Linked DNA regions of Arabidopsis thaliana. The protein of the gene in region 1 interacts with the protein of each later gene in a pairwise test. Each region holds a gene or a part of one and is shown on either strand. Other genes may lie near its edges.

The links.
Region 2: the proteins of GSTU19 (region 1) and AT3G07540 interact in a protein complementation assay, tested with the Arabidopsis thaliana proteins (one large-scale study listed by BioGRID).
Region 3: the proteins of GSTU19 (region 1) and AT2G28960 interact in a protein complementation assay, tested with the Arabidopsis thaliana proteins (one large-scale study listed by BioGRID).
Region 4: the proteins of GSTU19 (region 1) and RLP30 interact in a protein complementation assay, tested with the Arabidopsis thaliana proteins (one large-scale study listed by BioGRID).

The regions. Positions count from the first base shown.
Region 1 is NC_003070.9:29,485,267-29,489,885, reverse strand, and holds GSTU19 (glutathione S-transferase TAU 19), read left to right. Parts: upstream 1-1,878; 5' UTR 1,879-2,066; coding exon 2,067-2,381; intron 2,382-2,882; coding exon 2,883-3,227; 3' UTR 3,228-3,499; downstream 3,500-4,619. UniProt on the Arabidopsis thaliana protein: Catalyzes the glutathionylation of 12-oxophytodienoate (OPDA). In vitro, possesses glutathione S-transferase activity toward 1-chloro-2,4-dinitrobenzene (CDNB) and benzyl isothiocyanate (BITC), and glutathione peroxidase activity toward cumene hydroperoxide.
Region 2 is NC_003074.8:2,403,354-2,409,669, reverse strand, and holds AT3G07540 (Actin-binding FH2 (formin homology 2) family protein), read left to right. Parts: upstream 1-2,035; 5' UTR 2,036-2,205; coding exon 2,206-3,874; intron 3,875-3,957; coding exon 3,958-4,202; intron 4,203-4,295; coding exon 4,296-4,907; 3' UTR 4,908-5,177; downstream 5,178-6,316. Other genes in the region: AT3G07530 (integrator complex subunit), read right to left, coding at 5,390-5,914, 6,001-6,052. UniProt on the Arabidopsis thaliana protein: Might be involved in the organization and polarity of the actin cytoskeleton.
Region 3 is NC_003071.7:12,436,930-12,444,860, reverse strand, and holds AT2G28960 (Leucine-rich repeat protein kinase family protein), read left to right. Parts: upstream 1-2,268; 5' UTR 2,269-2,513; coding exon 2,514-2,604; intron 2,605-2,910; coding exon 2,911-3,439; intron 3,440-3,533; coding exon 3,534-4,006; intron 4,007-4,347; coding exon 4,348-4,492; intron 4,493-4,588; coding exon 4,589-4,660; intron 4,661-4,847; coding exon 4,848-4,919; intron 4,920-5,022; coding exon 5,023-5,100; intron 5,101-5,179; coding exon 5,180-5,337; intron 5,338-5,441; coding exon 5,442-5,674; intron 5,675-5,750; coding exon 5,751-5,877; intron 5,878-5,975; coding exon 5,976-6,041; intron 6,042-6,117; coding exon 6,118-6,307; intron 6,308-6,394; coding exon 6,395-6,803; 3' UTR 6,804-7,143; downstream 7,144-7,931. Other genes in the region: AT2G28970 (Leucine-rich repeat protein kinase family protein), read right to left, coding at 218-272, 562-753, 873-942.
Region 4 is NC_003074.8:1,529,755-1,535,479, reverse strand, and holds RLP30 (receptor like protein 30), read left to right. Parts: upstream 1-2,118; 5' UTR 2,119-2,219; coding exon 2,220-4,580; 3' UTR 4,581-4,812; downstream 4,813-5,725. Other genes in the region: AT3G05365 (uncharacterized protein), read left to right, coding at 388-494, 773-912, 1,010-1,104; AT3G05350 (Metallopeptidase M24 family protein), read left to right, coding at 1,637-1,963, 5,224-5,349, 5,452-5,571, 5,675-5,725. UniProt on the Arabidopsis thaliana protein: Receptor for microbe-associated molecular patterns (MAMPs) that induces a BAK1-dependent basal immune response to necrotrophic fungi (e.g.

The DNA.
Region 1 (4,619 bases):
TTTTGACTTGTGATCTTTTATCCTACTCTTATTGGTTCTAAAGTGCATACACGTAAGCGTATACATAAGCACTCGCATTTCACAGTAGCCAATCGATTGATTCTAATCTTTGAACATGTAATACACTTCATGGCCACTCTTTTTTTCCGGGAACTATCTTTTTTTTTTGACATGGAAAAAGACCATTTTTTGATTTATAACGTGCATACTGCTGTGTCTTTTTTCTAAATAAATAGTTTTTATCAAATATGTAATCATACTAGGGAAAATCTCATCAAGATCATACGTATTTTTGTACATGACTTTTAAATAGTATATTCGCCGAAAAATACGTTGATGTCTCGGAATTTGACGCCTCAAAAACATTAGAATATACAAAATCAAGTAACGAGTTTGTAGGTTGAAACTAAAATGCCACGTAATACAGTGCGTAGGGTCCATTCGATGTTTCTAGATCAAAGTCTACACACTATAGAGACTTCCAGATACAGATACACATTCGAAATCATCAATGAAAAATAACAATTTAAGTATCTTCTTATCCTAATGTGTGTGTGCTTTTTTTTAGTCAACTATTTTGTGTATATTGTAAGATGTATCATGTTATGACATGAGTATGTTGCTACGTGTCGTGAGATATCGAACCCAACGCAGATATGAGTATGTTGAGCTAGTTTCTTCTTATGAAACAATCATATATGTCTATAATGAATAGATCACATTATCTGCCTGAAAAAAATCCCGTATATTACTCGACGAAATATAAATACCCAATGTAGCTGATTTTGCTTTCTCTGGTGACATATCCAATTTGGCTAAATTTGTTAACTAGTCTATTATAGGTTTATAATAGATCTAGCTATGTTAAAGATACTAAAGCATCAGTTACATAAATTTTTGGCGCGAGTTTATATCTTTTGGAATTAAAAATAAGAGAATTTAAAAATAAGAAGATCATTTTGTTTGGCCACAGGAGTTCTGAAAGGTCAGGTATGATTTTTTTCTTGCTCGCTCTTATGATTTTGTTTTTATTAATGGGTTTTCAAATAAGAAAAACTGTTTTTCGAAGCCCGGTTCAGATCCATTGTTTTTTGTAAAATATAGGCCCAATTCACCATAAGTCCATGACCAAAACAAAAATAAGATAGAACCAATACTGAACCAGGATCTTCTCTCGCTTTCGTGATCAATGTCGCCAAGCTTCTCGAGATCATGTGGTCACGTCAATTGTATAAATACAATTATTGACGTAACACAATCTCTACAGTTCCATCGAAATATCTCGAAAATTTCCAGTTAATTCTGGTAACGTGAACGTATCTTCCACCTCTTCAACCTACACAGCTTTCTAGAAATTTGGCTCGCTTTTCTAAGTCCTCTGTATTTTTTTGCACGTTTTTCAACTAAGTTTCAATATGAATCATTTCTTCTATAAATAAATGATATTTTCATCAGGTAATGATACATTGTGCCGAAATAAAACGTCAATACTCATTAGTCAAATTAATTGTTCACATAATTTAAAACTGTGTTAATCCATCCAGTTATTTTCTTACAACAAAATAATCTTTTCCATCAACTTTTAAAATAATTAAACGCAGTGCTAAGAAATCTAAAATCTTGATTTAGAAATCCATTATGGTTTCTGGTCAACTGAAATCCATAATTTCCTTTAACATCCAAAATCCAAATTTGCTACTATGATAATAGATTTCAGACGATTTTTTTTCTTTTTTCAATCATAGAGTCCACACGAATATTTGCAAGTTACTATATAAAACACTATAATGGTCAACAGATAAAAAAAAGGCGAATGAAGATATGTTACGTAAAAAGAAAATACTGTAATTATAAATTATTACTTTAAAAAGCTTTAAAATCTGGCCACATGTTTTTAAAGAGTGGTGTGACGTAACGACTAGAGTCAGCACAATCCATTATTGTATCATAAATATTCTCATCTATAAATTACCTAAACCCTTACAGGTAGTGTCCCAACCAAACAAATCGAGAAAGACGAACACTTACAAAAAAAAATCTCTTTGTGAGCTTTAGCGATCGTAACAATGGCGAACGAGGTGATTCTTCTTGATTTCTGGCCGAGTATGTTCGGGATGAGGACAAGGATCGCATTGAGGGAGAAAGGTGTTGAATTTGAGTACAGAGAAGAAGATCTAAGGAACAAGAGTCCTTTGCTTCTCCAGATGAATCCGATTCACAAGAAGATTCCTGTTCTCATCCACAATGGTAAACCGGTTAACGAATCTATCATCCAGGTTCAGTACATTGACGAGGTCTGGTCTCACAAGAACCCTATCCTTCCTTCTGATCCTTACCTGAGAGCTCAAGCTAGGTTCTGGGCTGATTTCATTGACAAGAAGGTATCTTATTTCCTTTGTGCCCTTGATTGAATAATGTTGAAATTGAACTTGGGATTTCATAAAAATTGAAACTTTAGTTGAGTTTGCTAGTGATTGGCTCAAATTTAGGGTTTTGCTTGTAGACTCGTCTTTGAGCTTGTATGGGTTTGTCTGATGTTATAATATTACTTGAGTTTGTAGTTGTTAGGGTTAGAGATCTCACCTCCAAATTTCAGATTTTTCTTGTGGACTCATCTCTGAGCTAGTCAGGGTTTGTCTTCTTAGATAGTTTAATGTTATGTTACTTGTGCAATTTGAGGTTTTTACATACTAGTTTCGCTAGTAGATATCATCTTTGAGCTTTGTTTGGGTTCATCTTAGATAGTTTGATGATATGTTTCTTTTGCAATTTGGGGGTCTCTAGGACTGGTTTTGCTTTGTAGACATCATCTTTGAGCTTTGTTTGGGTTCGACTGAGTTCTGACATAGCTTGGTGTTATGTTACTCTGTGCAATGTTTCAGCTGTATGATGCTCAGAGGAAGGTGTGGGCGACAAAGGGTGAGGAACAAGAGGCAGGGAAGAAGGATTTCATTGAGATACTCAAGACTCTTGAATCTGAGCTTGGAGACAAACCTTACTTTAGTGGCGATGACTTTGGCTATGTAGACATTGCGTTGATTGGATTCTACACATGGTTTCCAGCATACGAGAAGTTTGCTAACTTCAGTATCGAATCTGAGGTTCCGAAACTGATTGCTTGGGTTAAGAAGTGTTTGCAGAGGGAGAGCGTGGCTAAGTCCTTGCCTGATCCTGAGAAGGTTACTGAATTCGTCTCTGAGCTCAGGAAGAAATTTGTACCTGAGTAAATATGTTTCTCTTGTCATATGGTTCGGACTTAAGATGCTCTCTGTTTTACTTTCGTGTGTTGTCTTTCTTAAATAATGCAGAGCATCTGTGAGGTGGTTTGAGTGTAGAGAATGTATGTCTTTGCTGTAGCAGATTCCTGTGTTTTCTGGATTTAATGGCTTGTCCTAGTTTTTATGCATTGTAACTATGAGTTTAATTAATGATCGTTAATCTATAATGATTATTAATTTGTTACTTTGATATGTAATTACGCCAATACGACTCTTCTACCTGACCAAGCTTATCACGCCAATGTTGCTGTAAAAGACAATAGTGCAGTTTGGCGATTAAAACCTCCAACATCGAGAATGGTAAGCCGGTCTGGATCTAATAAGCCCAAATTGGCATCCATAAGCCCAAATTGAAATTGGCATCCATAACTCCATATTGTAGTCAATTGGAAGTTATGTGGTTGATGTGATCATTAGTGTCGGTATGATCAGATTAGCCACGGGTTTAGTGTTTCTTGCCGAATTTGAATTCGGTAGATCAAATAACATTACTATGATCCGCACAGTTCATGGGATTTGAATTTGATTTACGATTACAACAACGATATTAACACAGAACTATCCTGTAATTTTTGGGATCGATTAGTAAATTTTAAAATATTATTTCAAAGGCTTTATATATATAAAGAATTTAGAGTATAAACATAGATAAAGCATTATGTATTTATAAATCTTATGCTGATATTGAAAAAATAATGGTGTATGTGATATATTTAATAGAGTGCAATACTCTCTCAATAAATTAGTATAGCTGTTATCACTCCTTGTGTAAATGCGTATTTCTTGTACATGCATGGTAAGTAGCTTGTCCTCGTATGTACCGGATTGTAATGTTTGATATCAAATCAAGGGAATCACGTGGTAAATGTACACCCACCTAACTGAGAGATAATAATACAAACAACTGTGAGTAGGTGGCCACGCCAAAAGTAGAGACTGATGCAGCAACTAAGCAAAGTATTACTTCACTCGATCAACTTTTTATTTTGTTACCTTCTTATAAATCAAGTCGATTTCTATATTGTCAAGTACTAATTCCATTCTAATCTCTTACATATACGTTTAAGGTTTGAATCAGAGCAAAAGATAATCACACTCTTTTATATTAAGTGATGTTTTCACTAGTTGCACACATATGACAATTATTTAACAAAGTTGCAAAATACATTTTAAATCGTTACGGGTAAAAGCTTACTGTTTAAAAGATTTATATATGGACCATAATATGCTTTGAAAAAAGCTGATGTGACGTAACGGGAATCAAAATCCTTTCCACATCATTTTCTTCCCCTATAAAACAACCGTCACTCACTCCTTCTCTACTATAACACACACTCGCTT
Region 2 (6,316 bases), on another chromosome or scaffold:
CAGAATCTCTGGATTGGATTAGATTGATCGGAAAAAAAGAAATTATGAAAACCCACACAAAAGATCCAGAGTTTATCGAAGAAATCAATCAAGTAAAAAGAGAACAATCGCTCAATCCATGATTGAAAATCCAAATACCAAAACAGAACGAGAGCGCTGAAGCAGAAATTTTGCTTGCTATGATTTTTTTTTCTTTTCGCATTTGTTTATATTATTATTTTTATTTTATTTTCTAATCCTTCAAATTATTCAATTTTTGAGATTTATGCCGAAGTTGTGTCACCGTACCGTAACTTTAGCAAGTGGTGTGGATTGTGGATTGTGGATTATACATGAGGGTAATGTCAATCCTAAATCATATAAGCACATTTTCTTGAATGAGAATGATCTCTTGAGATGAATAAATGATCTCAATTTCTGAAGACAACTCATTTAAGTGACTACCTTAAGAAGGGTCTTGAGCTAGACAACATGGAAGAGATGTACAAGAAGGTAAATGCAGCAATCCGAGCTGATCGGCTCCAAACAATTGATAACCAATTTTTGGATCCAACAGGAAATTCTGATGCTGCTGAAATAAATCATCAGTGGTAGCAACATCGAGAAAAAACAAGAAAAAAAAAAGCGTATGATGAAAAATGTTCATTGATAAGACATATTGGGCTGTCAAGTGTGAAGCCAGCTGATATTAGGATGAGGTTTGTTTTGTTCCCGCTGATTTGACACATGCTACCAGATGAGTTGTTTTCCTCTGGATTCGACAGGTAATTTGTCTTACGTCTTAACTATGTGTATTTGTAGTTTTGGAGATCTTAATTTTTTGTTATCTAGATATATTTATAAGTTTGCATTCATACTGATATTTAAGTGTATTTTCAAAAGTGTTGTGACTCAACCAAACGTGATCATATCTTCTTAACTTGAATCGCATGTTAAAGAACACTGTCGTTCCAAGGCTTAATTATAACCTATATATGTTGCCCACCCACGAGATAAAAACAATTATTTAGTAATTAGTGTCTCCTTGGATGTTGTGAAGAAGTTGGACTTTTGCATATTAATTCTCCCGCCAGTGTCGCAACAAAGTCTTCATGCTCAGAGTATCAGTTCACATTCGAAACCTGATCTTTCTTACTAGTCTATTGTTATGAGATTGGTTTTTTGGAGTGAAAATGAGCTTCGTGGAACTCTCATCAACCTCGTGAGAACATAACTTCGTGATTGTGTTCTTTGACAAGAAAAGTTGAGCTGTAGTTTTTTTTTAACAAGGTTTTGGGATGACCAGTAGTAAATCAATTGTTGTAATAATTTGGTTGGTAAATATAACATTTGTTTTCTACTAAACATCCAAAAATGGAGGTACGTGAATGAACACATGGTGTGTTGTAACAATTAATCTCAATATGGCCAAACCAAGTCTTCTCCATTTCTAGTCCTTGTCTCTACAACGAAGCTATTGCGCTATTTGTTTTGTTTGTGCAGTACGCTTCCTTCTTCTTATTGCCTTTCTTCTTAGGCGTCATATGACTCTCTTGCATCCTCAAAAACTATGCTGATTAATTTATGCCACACCACCATTTCTCATTGAAAGCTAAATCGAAATTCAAATAAAGTCCCAAAAACATGCAAAAGTTTAATTGACCAAAAAGCTGAAAAGCTTGATGGCGTTTCAAACTAATGCACTAGTTAATTCAATTTCCATAATTACGTAGTAGTTTTTTTGGAGATTATATATTTATTATTCACGAAAAATGTGGATAAGACAAATAAAAGACAAAGCATGCTGCATTGCTTGTTCTACTTTTTCTTTTTCTTTTTCAGACATTTTAGCCCAACTATATACTACTCTTGATTAATTTGAATAGGATTACATAGTATTCCATAACACGAGACAAAATAACAATATTTGGCAAATAGAAATGTTGTCTAGTTGTTTTCCTCGTAGATAAAGATAGTAGTCTCGACTTTAATAATTGGTTTGCATAGAAAAGAGAAGATAGTGTTTTGTATAGTACTAGGCAAAAGTCAAAAAGATTCTTTTGAAAGAGAGGACCCAAATTTACTTGACGTAATTATTGCATTTCATATACGTTCTTCTTCTCTCCCTACTTGATTTTTATTCAAAAACACTAGCATTAAGTCACTCTTTCGTCCTCAGATAGTGCGCATTGCAGAACACAAAATCTCTACAAGAAAACCCCAAAAATGGACGGACTTTGCTACGTCATCTTCATCATCTTCTCCCTGCTATCCTGCGCTTTCTCTCCCTTATCATACGCCTCTCCGGCCACTTTCAGTCGCCGTCACCTTCTTCAAGCTCCTGTAACTGATCCTTCCACATTCTCACCGCCGTTCTTCCCACTTTACAGCTCCACCTCTCCTCCTCCTCCTCCTTCTCCGCCGCAGCCTCTTCCGCCTCCCGCCCCCACTTTTGCGACATTTCCGGCGAACATCTCCGCTCTCGTCCTCCCTCGCTCCCCTAAACCGCAAACTCCTTCCCGTACACTCCTTATTCCTGCTATCTCCGCCGTGCTCGCCGCCGCAACATTAATCGCCTTGGCCTTTTTCTTCTACGGACGGTGGCGAGGGCAAACCAGTCATTTCAAAGATGAATCCAAGAGCTTAGCTTCAGACATTAGCCAATCCCAACAACAAACTCTTCCATGTCCCCCTCCAAGAAACAACAACACTCAAAACAAACTCTCTGTAGCTCCTTCTACCTCCGATGTTCTCTACCTCGGCAACGTCGTCACTTCCTCCGGGTCGGGTTTTGTTAAACCGGAGTCACCAGATATCTCTCCTCTCCCGCCATTACCTGCCCGTAGCTTCCTCCTGCAACATCACTCTGAAGCTAATCTTGATGAAGAAGAAGAAGACGACGACTTTTACTCGCCTCTCGCGTCTATAGCTGGTCAAGAATCACGAGACCGGAGAATCAATCCGTACAGTAACTGTTCTTGCTCTATCTCTTCACACTCGGATTCTCCGGCAATGTCACCGTCAGCTGCGATGTCTCCACCGATGAACTCGACGGCTCCACATTGGTCAACTAACCAAAACACTCACTCTCCGTCGTCGCCGGAGAGAACAGTAAGGAACAATAAGAGATATGGTGGGCAGTCGCTGAGAATGTTTAGCCTCTGGAATCAAAATCTAGGGTTTCCAAGAATTTCCTCTGCTTCTACTTCACCAGAGAGAGGTATGATTAGAACTCCAGACGCATATGCTCGTTCTTCTATGTACTCTTCAGTTTCCACCACGCCGGATCGGTTTTTCCGCAAGGTTCTTGATAGTTCGCCGCCGAGATGGAACGATTTCAGTCGAAATGTCAAGTCTTTGTTTCTTTCTTCAACTTCTGCATCACCTGCTAGAGATTTTTGTATCAACATCTCTGAATCTTCTAGAAGTTTGAAATCTTCTTGGGAAAAACCAGAGCTTGATACAACTCAACAGAGAGAATCGGCCGCTGCTGCTGTTACTCTTCCTCCTCCACAACGACCACCACCGGCAATGCCTGAGCCACCTCCTCTTGTGCCACCGTCACAGTCTTTTATGGTTCAGAAATCTGGAAAAAAGCTATCTTTCTCGGAGTTACCACAGAGTTGTGGGGAAGGAACAACAGATCGACCTAAGCCAAAGCTGAAACCTTTGCCTTGGGACAAAGTCCGACCAAGTTCTCGTCGGACAAATACTTGGGACCGTCTTCCATACAACTCTTCAAATGCTAACTCTAAACAGAGAAGTCTTAGCTGTGATCTTCCGATGCTAAATCAAGAGAGCAAAGTTTTGGATCCAAGGAAGAGTCAAAATGTTGCTGTTCTGCTTACAACACTTAAGCTCACCACAAATGATGTTTGTCAGGCCCTTCGAGATGGTAAATCATCAATGACAAAGCTAATTTCTTCTCATTATTCGGATTGTATCGAGTTGAATCTGACTTGTCTTTTATTTCATCAGGTCACTATGATGCACTTGGAGTTGAGCTTCTTGAGAGTTTAGCAAGAGTGGCACCGAGCGAAGAAGAAGAGAAGAAGTTGATTAGCTATAGTGATGATTCAGTGATCAAGCTTGCTCCATCAGAGAGGTTTCTCAAGGAATTGCTTAATGTTCCTTTCGTGTTCAAACGGGTTGATGCATTGCTCTCTGTTGCTAGTTTTGACTCCAAAGTCAAACACTTGAAAAGATCATTCAGCGTTATACAGGTATAAAACAAAGATGAAGATAACAAGAGACATTTATGAATGTGTATGTTGTTGTAAGCTTACGTCTCATAAAGCTATATGATTCTTTTGCAGGCTGCTTGTGAGGCACTGCGAAATAGCAGAATGTTATTGAGACTTGTTGGAGCTACCTTGGAGGCTGGAATGAAGAGCGGGAATGCTCATGACTTCAAACTTGAGGCGCTCCTCGGCCTTGTCGATATCAAATCGTCAGATGGAAGAACCAGTATCTTGGATTCTGTTGTACAGAAGATCACTGAATCAGAAGGAATCAAAGGGCTACAAGTTGTCAGAAATCTCAGTTCAGTTCTTAACGATGCCAAGAAATCTGCAGAGTTGGACTACGGTGTTGTAAGAATGAATGTGTCAAAGCTTTATGAAGAAGTTCAGAAAATTAGTGAGGTTCTGCGACTGTGTGAGGAGACTGGACACAGTGAGGAACACCAATGGTGGAAATTCAGGGAGTCGGTGACCAGATTCTTGGAAACTGCTGCTGAGGAGATTAAAAAGATTGAAAGAGAAGAAGGTTCCACGCTCTTTGCAGTGAAAAAGATAACAGAGTATTTCCATGTTGATCCTGCAAAGGAAGAAGCTCAGCTATTGAAAGTATTCGTAATCGTGAGAGACTTTTTAAAAATTCTAGAGGGAGTATGCAAGAAGATGGAGGTGACTAGTTCTCTGGCTTAGATGTCGTGTCATAAAGATCCTAGGATCTGTCCAAGACTAATGTATTGTGTTACCTTTATAAGTTATGTACTTATATGTTTGTATGAATCGTTGGAGAGCTACGTTGTATGTAAATAGATGCAGCTTTTACAAACATATAAGTGGCTTGAAGACCATATAATATCTCAAACTCAGAGATCCACTTTATTCTTCTTCTTTGTTATTTATTACATTTTCTTAGTTTACTGGTTCTTTAAGAATCCTTAATAAATAATATTCAGTCAAGCCTCGAAATATGAAGTACATAAGATGAATCTCAAAACAATACTCACAGAATACAATGATTAACATTTAATCATGCATATAGTACATAAGATTATATTATTTTCTATATATAGTATGTTACAGAGAGTATTTCCGAACCAATCATAATTACAAGGTTTATCTGAACTGGTCACTCTATTACACTAATAGCTCTGGTGAGTCAATGCTTGATACTTCCTCTATATACCGTCAAGAACTCCATCAATCGCCTGGAAGACCTGAGAGACTACATTCTCATCGCCTGTTATAATAGCAGTACCCATCTCTGAGAACTCTATCAGGCCACTGTTAGGATTTTCTATATGGATTATACTCTTGTCTTCTGATCCATTATCACCTGTACTCTGTTCGATGGATCCTTTTATTCCCATTTTCAGTAATGCGTCTAAAAGTAATTCCGGAGCCACTGAGCCCCAATGCCTCAATGGCCGAGCCTTTCCTGAACTTTCTTCCTGCTCCAACCCGGAAACTAATCTGTGTTTCCCATCTTCCATCAGAAGCCCACCTTTCAATCTTGCAATACCGAAGCTTTCACGTTGCCTCAGTTTTCTCCAGCTCAATTTGGAGGCCAAGTCTGTCGTAATCTCTACGCTTGGATTGTCTACAATTCTTGGTACATGTAGCGTCTTGTTCTCAAAGTAATTCAGGATTGAGATGGTCTTTATCGCAGCCAAACTGATCCTCTGATTGACAGCATCAGGGACCTATTCATAATATGGTATTAGATAGAAGAATATAGACAGATGCAGGATGTAAATATTTCTTCACCAGAGTGGAAGAGAATACTTACCAAGAAAATCTTTGGCTGCAAAACGGATACAAGTGTTGGGAGCTTCTGCAACCTGCAAAAGAAACTACAGCATTGAGCAATGGTAGACAAGCCAATTTAGATCACACATTTGGCCGCTGGACTACATGATGACAAGCTTAACTTGTGAGCTGCCATGATATTTGGAAACTAATATTTTGGGATATAGTGAGATATTACTGGTCATTAAATAGCAACAATGCATATGTGGTGAGTCAAATCTATACTATCAGTCAAGGTATGCCCTTGCACAAGAACCCAGGTTAATTCCTATTTTGTGCAGACACAACTCAGATTC
Region 3 (7,931 bases), on another chromosome or scaffold:
ATAAATAACAAAAAAAAAAATGTAGAAAATTGATTAAAACAAAACATGTCGTGCGGTGATAGTTGCAACTTGTTTTTTTTTATCCAAGTTAATCATGAATAACGATGTTTATATACTAACCAAAAGTACAATAATTTATGTATAAGAAAATTGATGCCATGTATGATTAATGACAGAAAACTCCCACTTATTGTTTTAAACAAAGTCAACTAATTACCTTATTTCGCTATCAGAAGTGCTGCAATGAACCCGGAAAGAGTTCCTCAGTGAGCCTGAATGCGTAAGATAAGTATCATTTCTCATTGGTCGTAGTTCTATAGATGATATTATTGGCGAGGTTGGTCCTGTTTTAACAAGACAAATATCCAAAGAGCTTGACCTCACTCTGTGTATGATCTCCTCGAATGTACCATTTTGTCTTCCTTCCATATCTATTCTTGCCCACTTATCAGGACCAAGATAGAGATCAAAGTTTGGATAAATATTAAGACCATCATAATTTCCATATATGAAGGTAACCAATATAAGATAATTTGTGCCACGAGTGACATTCAGACTAACAATTACGCTTTCCTTCCGGAAAGTATCTTAGAGTCAAATATGGTTTTCGGAATATTTTGTTGAGCTCTTTATCGACTCTACCACTTTCTCCAGTCTGGATAAATGTTGAATCTGATGTGAATGTTAATCCAGTAGATGGATCACTATAAGGAGATTCCTCAATAGGAAATCCGCAATCCAAACTGATGAAACCTGTTCAAGCATAAAAAGGATCGACGAAGTTTAAAAAAAAACTATATATAGAAGATATATCAATTTAAAGGATGGATGATCCTCGGTGAATATCTACTAAAGAGTTTATAAATTATTACCTTCTTGTTTTTGGGCGCCAACTATAACGGCAAAGGTTCCAATTATGGCCAACAAAAGATGGCTCATCATCTTCTTGGAAAGCTAATATGGAAATCAAGAACATAAAAAAGACTTGCTTAGTGAAAACAAGGAGCTACGTAAATGAGAAATACCTCACATACACAGATTGGAAGGAATAATACATTAAAGAAAGTCAACTTAAGCCAGACATGAAGATTGAATAATTGCGAGAATTGCTTTATTTTTGGTTTATTGTGTGAATTTCTTTGACATGTTCCAACCCCAACTTGTGTTTAAAATAATAGGTTATGATCATAAGACTCCGACATGTATAGGAATTTCCTTGTATTAAGGTTTGTATATGTCTTCTTTAAACCCTTGACCAAACATAATAAATCTTCGATTGATCGTTAGACTTGGAGCACAAGGATATAACAAGGTTTGATTTAAGTAATTAGTTTGAACCCGGTCGTTACAAAAAAGGATTTACTACATATGAAAAACAATTACATATTACAACCTATTTGAAACATTACGTCTGATTCACATAAAGAAACATTACGTCTGATCCACAATAATTATAGACGTAACTTATGTAACTTGTTGTAGAATAATTATGTAAAAGAGAGAATTCGTATATTACAACATGGACAGGAAAAAATAAAGATAAAGATCATTTTGTTTGATTCAATGATTTGCTTCTTACAAACTCAGGTATTTATACAAATAATGTGCATCAAGGTAGCCAGTACTAAATTTTAAAAATATATTTACAACCACACTTTAACTATTACAAACTTGTTAAAAAAGCAACAATAAAAAATAAGAATTATCACATAATTAATATTTTTATATAGTTAACACATACAGTTTCCGATTGTCAAAGCTCCATTAAAAAAGCAAATTGTGAACCAAGTGGATAATGGTCCAGTAGCGTTTGGAAATGATCTTTCCAAAATAAGGTTTGATCTCTTTTCCCACTAAATCCCACCTAACAAGGGATATTAACAAAGGTTGATGTAGAATTTCTTGGTTGACAATGTATAGTAATACTGAGAATATGAGCTATAACTATAAGAGGCCAGCTATCTCTTAACGTCTATGAGTAAGCCATAGATAGATAATGCATATACAGGCAAACAAAACGAATATTAGGGTTTGTCAAGAAAAGACTAATCTTAGTTTATTTTTGAAGACCAAGAATTTTACATTATTGCAGAGGTATTGCGATTATAATTGAGTGAAAGTCAACAAAATGTATTAAATCCACCAAGTTGTTGTTAAGTACAAGTCGTTAGCAGAATTATCATATAGTTTATAAAGCTTTGACATTAGATCAACTTGGCAGGTTTTACATTGTTTAAACAAAGATTACATCAGGTGCTTTGATTTATGATTAAATTGCTCTCTTTTTTCCACAAAGTGGAATATAAATGTATATATCTTTGTTAGACCATTCTTCAGTCGTGCTTGGATATGAATCTATAATTGGAGAGTATTCCACGCCAACATGTGTTTTGGATTTTAATTGATCTTCATCTAAAGTATTTCTATCATTTGTACTAGAAAATCAATATATTGTATCATATATTTCAGATTGTCTTTGGTTTCAAAAATTTGTATGTTAACTTAACTTGAAAATGGAAGGTCGTCGTCAACGTTTACTGGTGTTCATCTTTGGGGCTTTGGCCATTACACATCTTGTTCAAGCTCAGCCGCCTGATCAACGAGGTTTCTCTATATACCTTTTTTTAATAATTGCTTCATGTTCAGTTTTTGACACATAAAGACTTAAGGATTAGCCAAGTAGTTGAGTGTTCTTGCTCGACTGGTCGAGATCACTAACCGATTTCTACTTTGTTGTACGCATAGCCACCATGAAAATAATATTAACGATTACAGATATAAGAGATTTGGTTAAAGAAAATAAAGGATTCTCTGTTTTCCAAAACTTTTGATTGTCTTCCTTATAAGCTTCATGGTCTAACAAAAGGAAAACATTATTTTTCACTAATAATACATTTTGTATCTTGCCAGGATTCATCAGTTTGGATTGCGGTTTACCCGTTAATGAGTCTCCTTATACCGACCCACGAACCGGATTAACATTCTCATCTGATGCTGATTTTATTTTAAGTGGTTTACGTGGTGAAGCTGGGGATGATAACACATATATCTACAGGCAGTACAAGGATTTGAGATATTTTCCCGATGGAATACGAAACTGCTATAATCTGAAAGTAGAGCAAGGCATCAACTATTTGATAAGAGCAGGGTTCGGATATGGAAATTATGATGGTCTTAATGTATATCCCAAATTTGATTTACATGTTGGGCCTAACATGTGGATTGCGGTTGATTTGGAATTCGGAAAAGATCGTGAGATCATTTACATGACAACGTCGAACTTATTGCAGATTTGTCTTGTCAAAACAGGATCAACTATACCAATGATATCAACCTTGGAACTACGGCCACTAAGAAATGATTCATATTTGACTCAATTCGGTCCCTTAGACCTCATCTACCGGCGGGCCTATAGTAGCAATTCTACCGGTTTTATACGGTATGTAAACTCAACTTTAGCAACTCTTTTATAAAAAAAAACAATCTAACATGATTCATTTACTTTTGCATGGCTACTCCAAAAATGGTTTTAGGTATCCTGATGATATTTTTGATCGCAAATGGGACCGATATAATGAATTTGAAACGGATGTGAACACCACCCTCAACGTGAGATCCTCGAGTCCCTTTCAAGTACCAGAAGCTGTAAGTAGGATGGGAATCACGCCCGAAAATGCCAGCTTGCCATTGAGATTTTACGTGTCTCTAGATGACGACAGTGACAAGGTTAACGTGTACTTTCACTTTGCCGAAATCCAAGCTTTGAGGGGCAATGAGACTAGAGAATTCGACATTGAATTGGAAGAAGATATTATTCAGTCAGCATATAGTCCTACGATGTTACAATCAGATACCAAATATAACCTATCACCTCACAAATGTAGCTCCGGGTTGTGCTACTTGAAACTCGTTAGAACTCCAAGGTCAACTCTTCCACCGCTGATTAGTGCTATTGAGGCTTTCAAGGTTGTGGACTTTCCATACGCTGAAACAAATCCAAATGACGGTACGCCACTATTCCATTCTCTATTCTGTAAGAAAGGGCTTATTTGCAAAAAAAAAAAAAACAATCACAAAATTGGGGGAAAAATAATGGTCACAAAACGGAGAAAATATTCATGTGTTTATCGTGTTTAATTTGAAATATTGTACTACCATGTTAAAAATTGTGTTATGAAATATGACATGATATTTGTTAAAAATAGCGCGATAAATGAACCAACTTAATCTTTTTTTTTTTTGCAAATAATAGGGTGGAATTTTTGTTTATTTAGTACATACCCTCATTAAGAAACTTTAATCTTTTATATGCTAATTCTTGGCTTCCTCCTCGAACCATTATGTTAGTCGCTGCTATGAAGGATATCGAAGCATTTTATGGATTGAAGATGATTAGTTGGCAAGGAGATCCTTGTGTCCCTGAACTATTAAAGTGGGAAGATCTAAAATGCAGCTACACAAATAAGTCTACTCCTCCAAGAATTATTTCTTTGTACGATCATTATATATCTCATAAGCATATTGAAACCTAAATCTCTTAAGTCTTAAGTATCTTATATCTGAAAAAATGTTCTTATATTGTGAACAGAGATTTGTCATCACGAGGGTTAAAAGGGGTCATTGCGCCTGCCTTCCAAAATTTGACCGAGCTTCGAAAACTGTAAGAGCTATTAGTATTTTACTTAAACGCGATCCATGAGAAAACATTTATATTGTGACCAACATATTTCTAATTTTTCACATCTTATAACAAATTGGACGAAAAAAAATATCTCATCTCATACTATTTTTTTATTTATCCTATTAACGGAAAATAGATTGACTTTTTAACGTTTTATAAATACTAGAGACTTGTCAAATAATAGTTTTACTGGAGGAGTGCCCGAGTTTCTAGCCAGCATGAAGTCATTATCGATCATGTAAGTTGATATAAACAAACATAATGGCCGGCCACTTATATTTCACTAGGTATACTTGTTGTCACTTTACATTGACATTGTAATTTTGTGTTTACCTTGACAGAAATTTAAATTGGAATGACCTTACGGGTCCTCTTCCTAAATTGCTTCTTGATAGAGAAAAGAATGGGCTTAAGCTAACGTAAGATTTTCACCCTTCTTTTTTTTTTATCAACTTTCCTCAACCTATAGTCTTATTCAACAACACTTATTTTCTTAAGGATCCAAGGAAACCCAAAGTTGTGTAACGATGCGTCATGCAAAAATAATAACAATCAAACGTACATTGTACCAGTTGTTGCGTCAGTAGCTTCTGTGCTCATCATTATAGCCGTACTGATTCTCATTCTTGTTTTCAAAAAGAGAAGGCCAACGCAAGGTACATAATTATACAATGAGATATATATTCTTATCGTAACATGCATGCATGATGATGACATACCAAAAGATGCCTAATCTCATGGAACTTTTTGGTTGTGACAGTTGATTCATTACCTACAGTGCAACATGGGTTACCAAATAGACCGTCTATATTTACTCAAACGAAAAGGTTCACTTATTCAGAGGTAGAAGCATTAACAGATAATTTTGAAAGAGTTCTTGGAGAAGGAGGGTTTGGGGTAGTGTATCATGGTATTTTAAATGGTACGCAACCAATAGCTGTTAAACTACTCTCTCAATCATCAGTACAAGGCTATAAGGAATTCAAAGCTGAGGTATGTTAATACATAATACATGGAATATATTGTAACATGTGATGGCTCTTAAATTTGTTTGGACATGGGTGGTCAGGTTGAACTTCTTTTGAGAGTGCACCACGTCAATTTGGTTAGTTTGGTTGGATATTGTGATGAAGAAAGCAACTTGGCCCTGCTTTATGAGTATGCACCGAACGGAGACTTAAAACAACATCTATCAGGTATAAATTTGAATTTCCCACATTTTAAAATAGTGATTACTTAGCCATATTTTAATGTTCATGCTTTTATAACATTACTAAAAGTTTCTTAATTATAGGAGAACGGGGTGGCTCTCCATTGAAGTGGTCAAGTAGACTAAAAATTGTCGTCGAAACTGCGCAAGGTTCGTTCTTAGCTCAAATGCATTAATCACTTTATATGGATCATCTAACATGAACAATTTAATTATATAAATATAGGATTAGAATACTTGCATACGGGTTGCAAACCTCCAATGGTACATCGTGATGTAAAAACAACAAATATACTTTTAGACGAACACTTCCAAGCAAAACTCGCCGATTTTGGCCTTTCAAGATCATTTCCAGTTGGAGGTGAAACTCATGTTTCAACAGCTGTTGCTGGAACTCCTGGATATTTGGATCCCGAGTAAGTTTTACATCACCAAACTAGTTTGATTCAAATTGTTTTTCCTCATTCATTTGAAAAAAAAAATACTTCATGTTTTGTTTGTAGATATTATCGAACAAATAGGTTGAACGAAAAGAGTGATGTATATAGCTTTGGGATTGTATTATTGGAGATCATCACAAGTCGACCTGTGATTCAGCAAACCCGAGAGAAGCCGCACATAGCAGCATGGGTGGGATACATGCTTACTAAGGGAGATATTGAGAACGTTGTGGATCCAAGACTCAATAGAGATTATGAGCCTACTTCTGTTTGGAAGGCTCTTGAGATAGCAATGTCTTGCGTGAATCCTTCTTCGGAGAAAAGACCAACCATGTCTCAAGTTACTAATGAACTAAAGCAATGTCTAACATTAGAAAACTCAAAGCGAGGAGTGAGAGAAGACATGGGATCAAGAAGTTCTGTTGAAATGAGCACAAGCTTTACAACCGAAATTAACCCAAAAGCACGATAACTTGTGCCAAAAAAAATCCCATGGTTATTAAGGATTTTGGATTTCCCTGACTTACTTTACAAAAATATAATTTTTGGTGGTCATTTATTTGTACGACTTCATTGTATTTACTTGTGATTGTGGTCGTATGTGATATTAGTGTGGATGTTTTGTTTGGTTTGGTTTGGTTTGGTTTTATGTTGGTTGTGGCCTTGTGTGTGTTTTGGCGGTGATCCATCATAAATGATTCTTTTGCAAATCTCTGATGATTTTTTTCATCGGATTATGGTATTTTTATTGTTTATATATGCTCACTGATCCAAAATATGTTGTCATTGTTTATGTTACATGCTTCCCTAACTCCTTTTGTAATTGATCAAAAACTTTTGTTTGATAATTATCAAGTTTTGGACTAGTTCTTTTGGTCCATGGACTACAAATCTGCTTCCATCTAATGTTTCTCTGGACCAGTCTCATAATTATACATTTGTTGTTCACATAGTACATCTCCATAATATCATATATTTGACTTTCGGTATGAAATCTTTGTATATATATAGGTTGGACCAAGAAGTTAGGATTCATAATCATAAAAAGTAAGAAAGACGACTAGTTCACGACTCACATCAAATTCCAAAGTATAATTTTCTTCGTAAAATGAAAGTTATATTAGATGAAAATCTTGCAGGTCCATTGGATATCAATTCACGAGATATGTAAACATACCTATATTAATATCACATTATTTTGATTGTATTTGTATAAGTTTTCGCCTACTCACATGCCATGATTTTGCATAAGCTGTTTTTTTTTTTTTGCATAAGCTTATCAGGCTAGTTACGGTCACATTAGTTACTAGAACATTCAACATATATAATTTTCCATAGCAGGATCCGGGTTCCATGTTTGTAAGAGGATTAATGAGAGCATATTTATTTTGATTTCTTTCTATTAATGCGAAAACGGTTATGTGTGTGAACAAGTTGAAAATGGTTGGTTCAGTTTATAGCAACGTCTTCTGCCTATTCAATGTCTCTTTACCAACAAAAAACTTGAATATTTTCTTTTTCTTATCATATAAGCATTACGTTAAACGTCAGAACGAAAATGCACTATGTGAGAAAGTGTTATTCGCAATTTGAAAGCTTT
Region 4 (5,725 bases), on another chromosome or scaffold:
GATAGGAGCTATATGTCTACTATTTTTATTTTTTTAGCCAATGAGAGAGCTCCACTTCATACCCCACTTTTACCAATCGAGCGATTTCACAACCAGTCTCACCCATGTCGCGTTGAGCGCGTGTCTACGATTTCTAAAGGGGTTTGTCCACAGAAATCATGCCTTTTTTGATCCACGCAACTCACTCTCAAAAATCCATCGCGTGTCTTATTTTTTTTGGTTTTCTTCTCTAAACCAAATTAAACCGAACCGAGATCAATTTGAATTTCAAAACCAATGTAAACCCATCAAACCCATCGCTGTGAAAACAAAAAGCTCGGCCACTGTAACAACAAAAATGGAGACGACACAACTTGGAAGAGAAATCAACTCTAAATAGCCAAGAGAATGTTCGAAAACCCCCTCAAATCCGATGCTTCCTTTGATTCCAACCTCCAAAAGCCCATCTGCTCAAATCTTCATTTCGAGGATGAGGACTCGAGGAGTATTACAAGGTACCTCAATAGAATCAATGGCTTCCATGGATTTTGAAACTTTACTTCTAATAAACACCATTGTAATGTCTTGTTGTGAAGTTGTGTAAGGAACAAAGGATAGTGAAAGCTGAAGAGTGGGATTCGTTTATGGAGTTTCAGAGTTTTTTTTGACTAAGTGGCCTCTGTTTTTGATTCTTCAGTGGTCAATTTTGTGATGGGATTTGATTGAAATTGGAGAATGATTTCATGAAATCTCTTCGGGCTGAGGTTGATTCATGACTCTTTCATTTTTCTAGTGTCTCATTGATGATAGACATAAGAAGCATACTTAAGGCCATAGAGAGTGGTGAATTGGAGGCAATCAAGCCTTTGCCTTGGTACCCTAAGAATCTTTCTTTTCACGGAAGGAGATTAGAAAAAACCAGATACTTGAGAGGTACATTTTCATGCCAGTTGCTTCAGAACAAGTATTCACTTCCATTCCCTTACTTGTGTTAGTTCAGCGCTTGAGAAATATTATGATCTTGTTTCAGACTTTCAGCTGTCAAGAGACAAGGCCCGTTTTACTATCAGGTTAAAATCATGGTCAGCTTCTTGTCCCAAACCACATTGTTGCAAGGTTTTGTAATAAATCTTGGCTCGATAATGCATTCAGAAACTTCTTCTACTCATATCTCAAAATATGTTTTGAATTCTAAACCCCATGGTTATCAATATAAAGAATATTAGTATCTATTTTTCTCTTTTCTGGTGTGGTTGCAATTTATCGTTTGTCTCTTTCGTGGAAACCCTTAATTCAGGCGGTATTAAGTCTTTCTCATAAAACTTTCTAAGTCAAACCAAAATTCCAATCGAAATTCTCAGCATGAAAGTCTCGAACACGTTTACATTTCTTACGCACCCAAAGACTCTTGCTTCTTGCACACGTCTCTCTTGGCTGTCCTTTACCATAACGAATTTGATGAGATTGTTTCAAAATAAAATGTTTCTTTTTGACAAGTCTGGGATTTTAATGTAATTATCAATAGTCATGCACATTATACAACATTTAAAAGAATACGGGGGTTGTTTTGCAATTTTCAGTAGTTATACACATTTATCCGTAATCACTCTGCTCAAGAAGCTTCTCCTCTTGTGTGATTCTCCTGCAATCGCTGGTGATGATTCCTCTAACTCTTTCGTCGCCGTCTCTGAATCGGCTCGTTTTATCCACATCACGTTACTCACACTCTCTATTTCTCAGCAATTTCAATTCGCTCTCTCTGATCCACCGGAAATTACCGTATAAACCTCTTTTTGGCGCAAGGTGTCATGCTAGTAGCAGCAGCAGCAGCTCTTCCTCCTTCACGGCAAAGTCTTCCAAAGAGATTCGTAAAGCTCAAACCAAAGTAGTTGTCGACGAGAAGCTTAGCTCGATCCGGCGACTGTTTTCGGAGCCGGGTGTTGGAATCGACGCTTATATCATACCTTCACAAGATGCACATCAGGTTCTCTTTTTTTAAACCTCTTCTTAACTCGTGATTACGAATTGAATAGGAAGTTCTAGTAGATTCAAAACTGTTCAATTGTGTGTGTTTTTAAGTCAATTATTGGTCCAAGTGGGCAAGTTTGACTATAGAAAGGAGTAGGTAGAAGTCTACTAGAGAGCTGCAAATTTGTGTTTTGTTTTCTATTTTTCTCTCTCTCTAAATAGAGACGTAGAAGCCATAGCTATCATAACCTGTTACTTACAAAACAAACAAAATGATTCCAAGCCAATCTAATTCCTTTTCTGGTAGTGTTATTACCTTGTATTTCTTCCTCCTGGGTTCCCTTGTTCTACGCACTCTTGCTTCTTCTAGGCTTCACTATTGCCGCCATGACCAAAGGGATGCTCTTCTCGAGTTCAAACACGAGTTTCCGGTAAGTGAATCGAAGCCAAGTCCATCGTTGAGTTCATGGAACAAGACTAGTGATTGCTGTTTTTGGGAGGGTGTCACGTGCGATGATGAATCTGGCGAGGTGGTTTCACTTGACCTTAGTTATGTCCTTCTCAACAACTCTTTGAAACCAACTAGTGGTCTTTTCAAACTCCAACAACTCCAGAACCTGACTCTCAGTGATTGCCATCTCTATGGAGAGGTTACTTCTTCACTAGGAAACCTTTCTCGTCTCACGCATCTTGACCTTTCGAGTAATCAGCTGACAGGTGAAGTTCTGGCTTCGGTCAGTAAGCTAAACCAACTTAGAGACCTTTTACTTTCCGAAAACAGTTTTAGTGGTAACATTCCTACTTCATTTACCAATTTAACGAAGCTTTCTAGTTTAGACATCTCTAGCAATCAGTTCACATTGGAAAATTTCTCTTTCATACTACCAAATTTAACCAGCTTGTCCTCCTTAAACGTTGCCTCTAATCACTTTAAATCCACGCTTCCATCTGATATGAGTGGACTCCACAACTTGAAATATTTTGATGTGCGTGAGAATTCATTTGTCGGGACTTTTCCTACATCCTTATTCACGATTCCTTCGTTACAAATTGTTTATTTGGAAGGAAACCAGTTCATGGGACCTATAAAGTTTGGGAATATATCTTCATCTTCTAGGCTTTGGGATCTAAACCTTGCTGATAACAAATTCGATGGGCCAATCCCTGAATATATATCTGAAATTCACAGTCTCATAGTACTAGATCTTAGCCACAACAACTTAGTTGGGCCAATCCCCACTTCTATATCAAAGTTGGTCAACCTTCAGCATCTTAGTCTTTCAAACAATACCTTGGAAGGCGAAGTGCCAGGTTGCTTATGGGGATTGATGACAGTGACACTTTCCCACAATTCTTTCAACAGTTTTGGAAAGTCATCATCCGGAGCTTTGGATGGAGAATCAATGCAGGAGTTGGATCTTGGTTCGAATTCACTTGGAGGACCTTTTCCCCATTGGATCTGCAAGCAAAGGTTCTTAAAGTACTTAGACTTGTCCAACAATCTCTTCAACGGCTCAATTCCTCCTTGTTTGAAAAATTCCACTTATTGGCTTAAAGGGCTAGTTCTGCGTAACAACAGCTTCAGCGGATTTCTCCCAGACGTATTTGTCAATGCTAGCATGTTATTATCACTTGACGTTAGCTACAACCGGTTGGAGGGAAAACTTCCAAAATCCCTGATCAATTGCACTGGTATGGAACTTCTGAATGTGGGAAGCAACATAATCAAGGACACTTTTCCATCCTGGTTGGTTTCTTTGCCATCATTACGTGTCCTCATCCTCAGATCTAATGCATTCTATGGGTCGTTATATTATGACCACATATCTTTTGGGTTTCAACATTTGAGACTCATTGATATATCACAGAATGGCTTCAGTGGAACTTTGTCACCTTTATATTTCTCCAATTGGCGTGAGATGGTGACATCTGTCTTAGAAGAAAACGGCTCTAATATAGGTACAGAGGATTGGTACATGGGCGAGAAAGGGCCCGAGTTCAGCCATAGTAATTCGATGACTATGATATATAAAGGAGTAGAAACGGACTTCTTGCGGATCCCATATTTCTTCAGAGCCATTGACTTTTCTGGAAACAGATTTTTTGGGAATATACCTGAATCCGTTGGTTTGTTGAAGGAATTGCGTCTTCTCAATTTGTCAGGTAACTCATTCACAAGCAATATCCCTCAGTCATTGGCAAATTTGACAAATCTTGAGACATTGGACCTATCCCGGAATCAGCTATCAGGTCACATCCCTCGAGATCTTGGTAGCCTCTCTTTTCTGTCGACCATGAATTTCTCCCATAACCTTCTCGAAGGTCCAGTTCCACTAGGCACTCAGTTTCAAAGCCAACATTGTTCTACATTCATGGACAACCTCAGACTCTACGGTCTTGAGAAAATCTGTGGAAAAGCTCATGCCCCGAGTTCTACACCACTAGAATCCGAGGAATTTTCGGAACCAGAAGAACAAGTGATTAACTGGATAGCAGCGGCAATAGCCTACGGACCTGGTGTGTTTTGTGGATTAGTTATTGGACATATCTTCTTTACTGCACACAAACACGAGTGGTTCATGGAAAAATTCCATCGAAACAAGCGCAGAGTAGTCACCACAAGTGCTCGTTGAACACCATCACCTCTCACAATTTCTCTGAGTGATTGTGAAACGTATATGTTTGTTATGATATCTGTCAGTTGTGTTATGCATAAACTCTTTGTCTTTGTAATTTTCTACTTTATGGTATTGTAAGAAACGGCTTTGGTGGTATCTGATCTTCTATATGTTGGGTTGAAAATGCATTCAGATTTTTCTTCCTAGTCAAATCTCAACTTGTCATAAGAGGATGTTTCAATTGTAGAGCCAAATGGAAGTTCTTCTTCTTCTAAATCACAGTATGAAATTCTCCAACTCGTGTTTTATTTCATTCTCCCCAAAGTTTCTTGCTCCGCTCACACGTCAATCTTGCTGTCCCTGAGTATACCAAATTCGATTTGGAGATTCAAGATAAAAAATAAATATGATTTGGACCAGTGCGGGGGTTGTTATGCATCTATGCAATTGTTTTTGCCATTTTGATATGGGTAATGTGTTGTTTCGGTGAATTTTACATACTAGGAGCTTAAGATCTACTTTCATAACTGATGTTGCCTGTAATATATTTCTGTGCCATTAGGAAAGTCACAAATTTATGTTTTACTTCTAAATGTATCCATAAACTGCCTGAGTTTTTCATGGCTTGAGTGTGATTTTTCTCCATATTTTGTACTAGAGCGAGTTCATCGCAGAGTGCTATGCCAGGAGGGCTTATATATCAGGATTTACTGGAAGTGCTGGTACCGCTGTTGTCACCAAGGATAAGGCAGCTCTATGGACAGATGGCCGCTATTTTCTTCAGGTTTTGATCATTATCGTCCTTTAAAATTATTTGATTGCCATCTCATATTGAAAGGAAATGTGGAGTTTCTTATCTACATTCTCTGCAATTATTCTATCAAAGGCGGAGAAGCAATTAAACTCTAGTTGGATTCTCATGCGGGCTGGTAATCCGGGAGTCCCCACGGCGAGTGAATGGATAGCTGATGTTTTGGCGCCTGGTGGAAGAGTTGGTATTGACCCTGTAAGCTATTATTAAACCTTCTAAATTGTGTCTCCTTTTGTCCTTAAATATTGTAGTTTGTGGTTTGTTATTTACAAGACTTTGGAATTCATGAAGGGAGCAGTTCCTTTTTTCCGCCGATGCTGCTGAGGAATTGAAGGAGGTTATAGCAAAG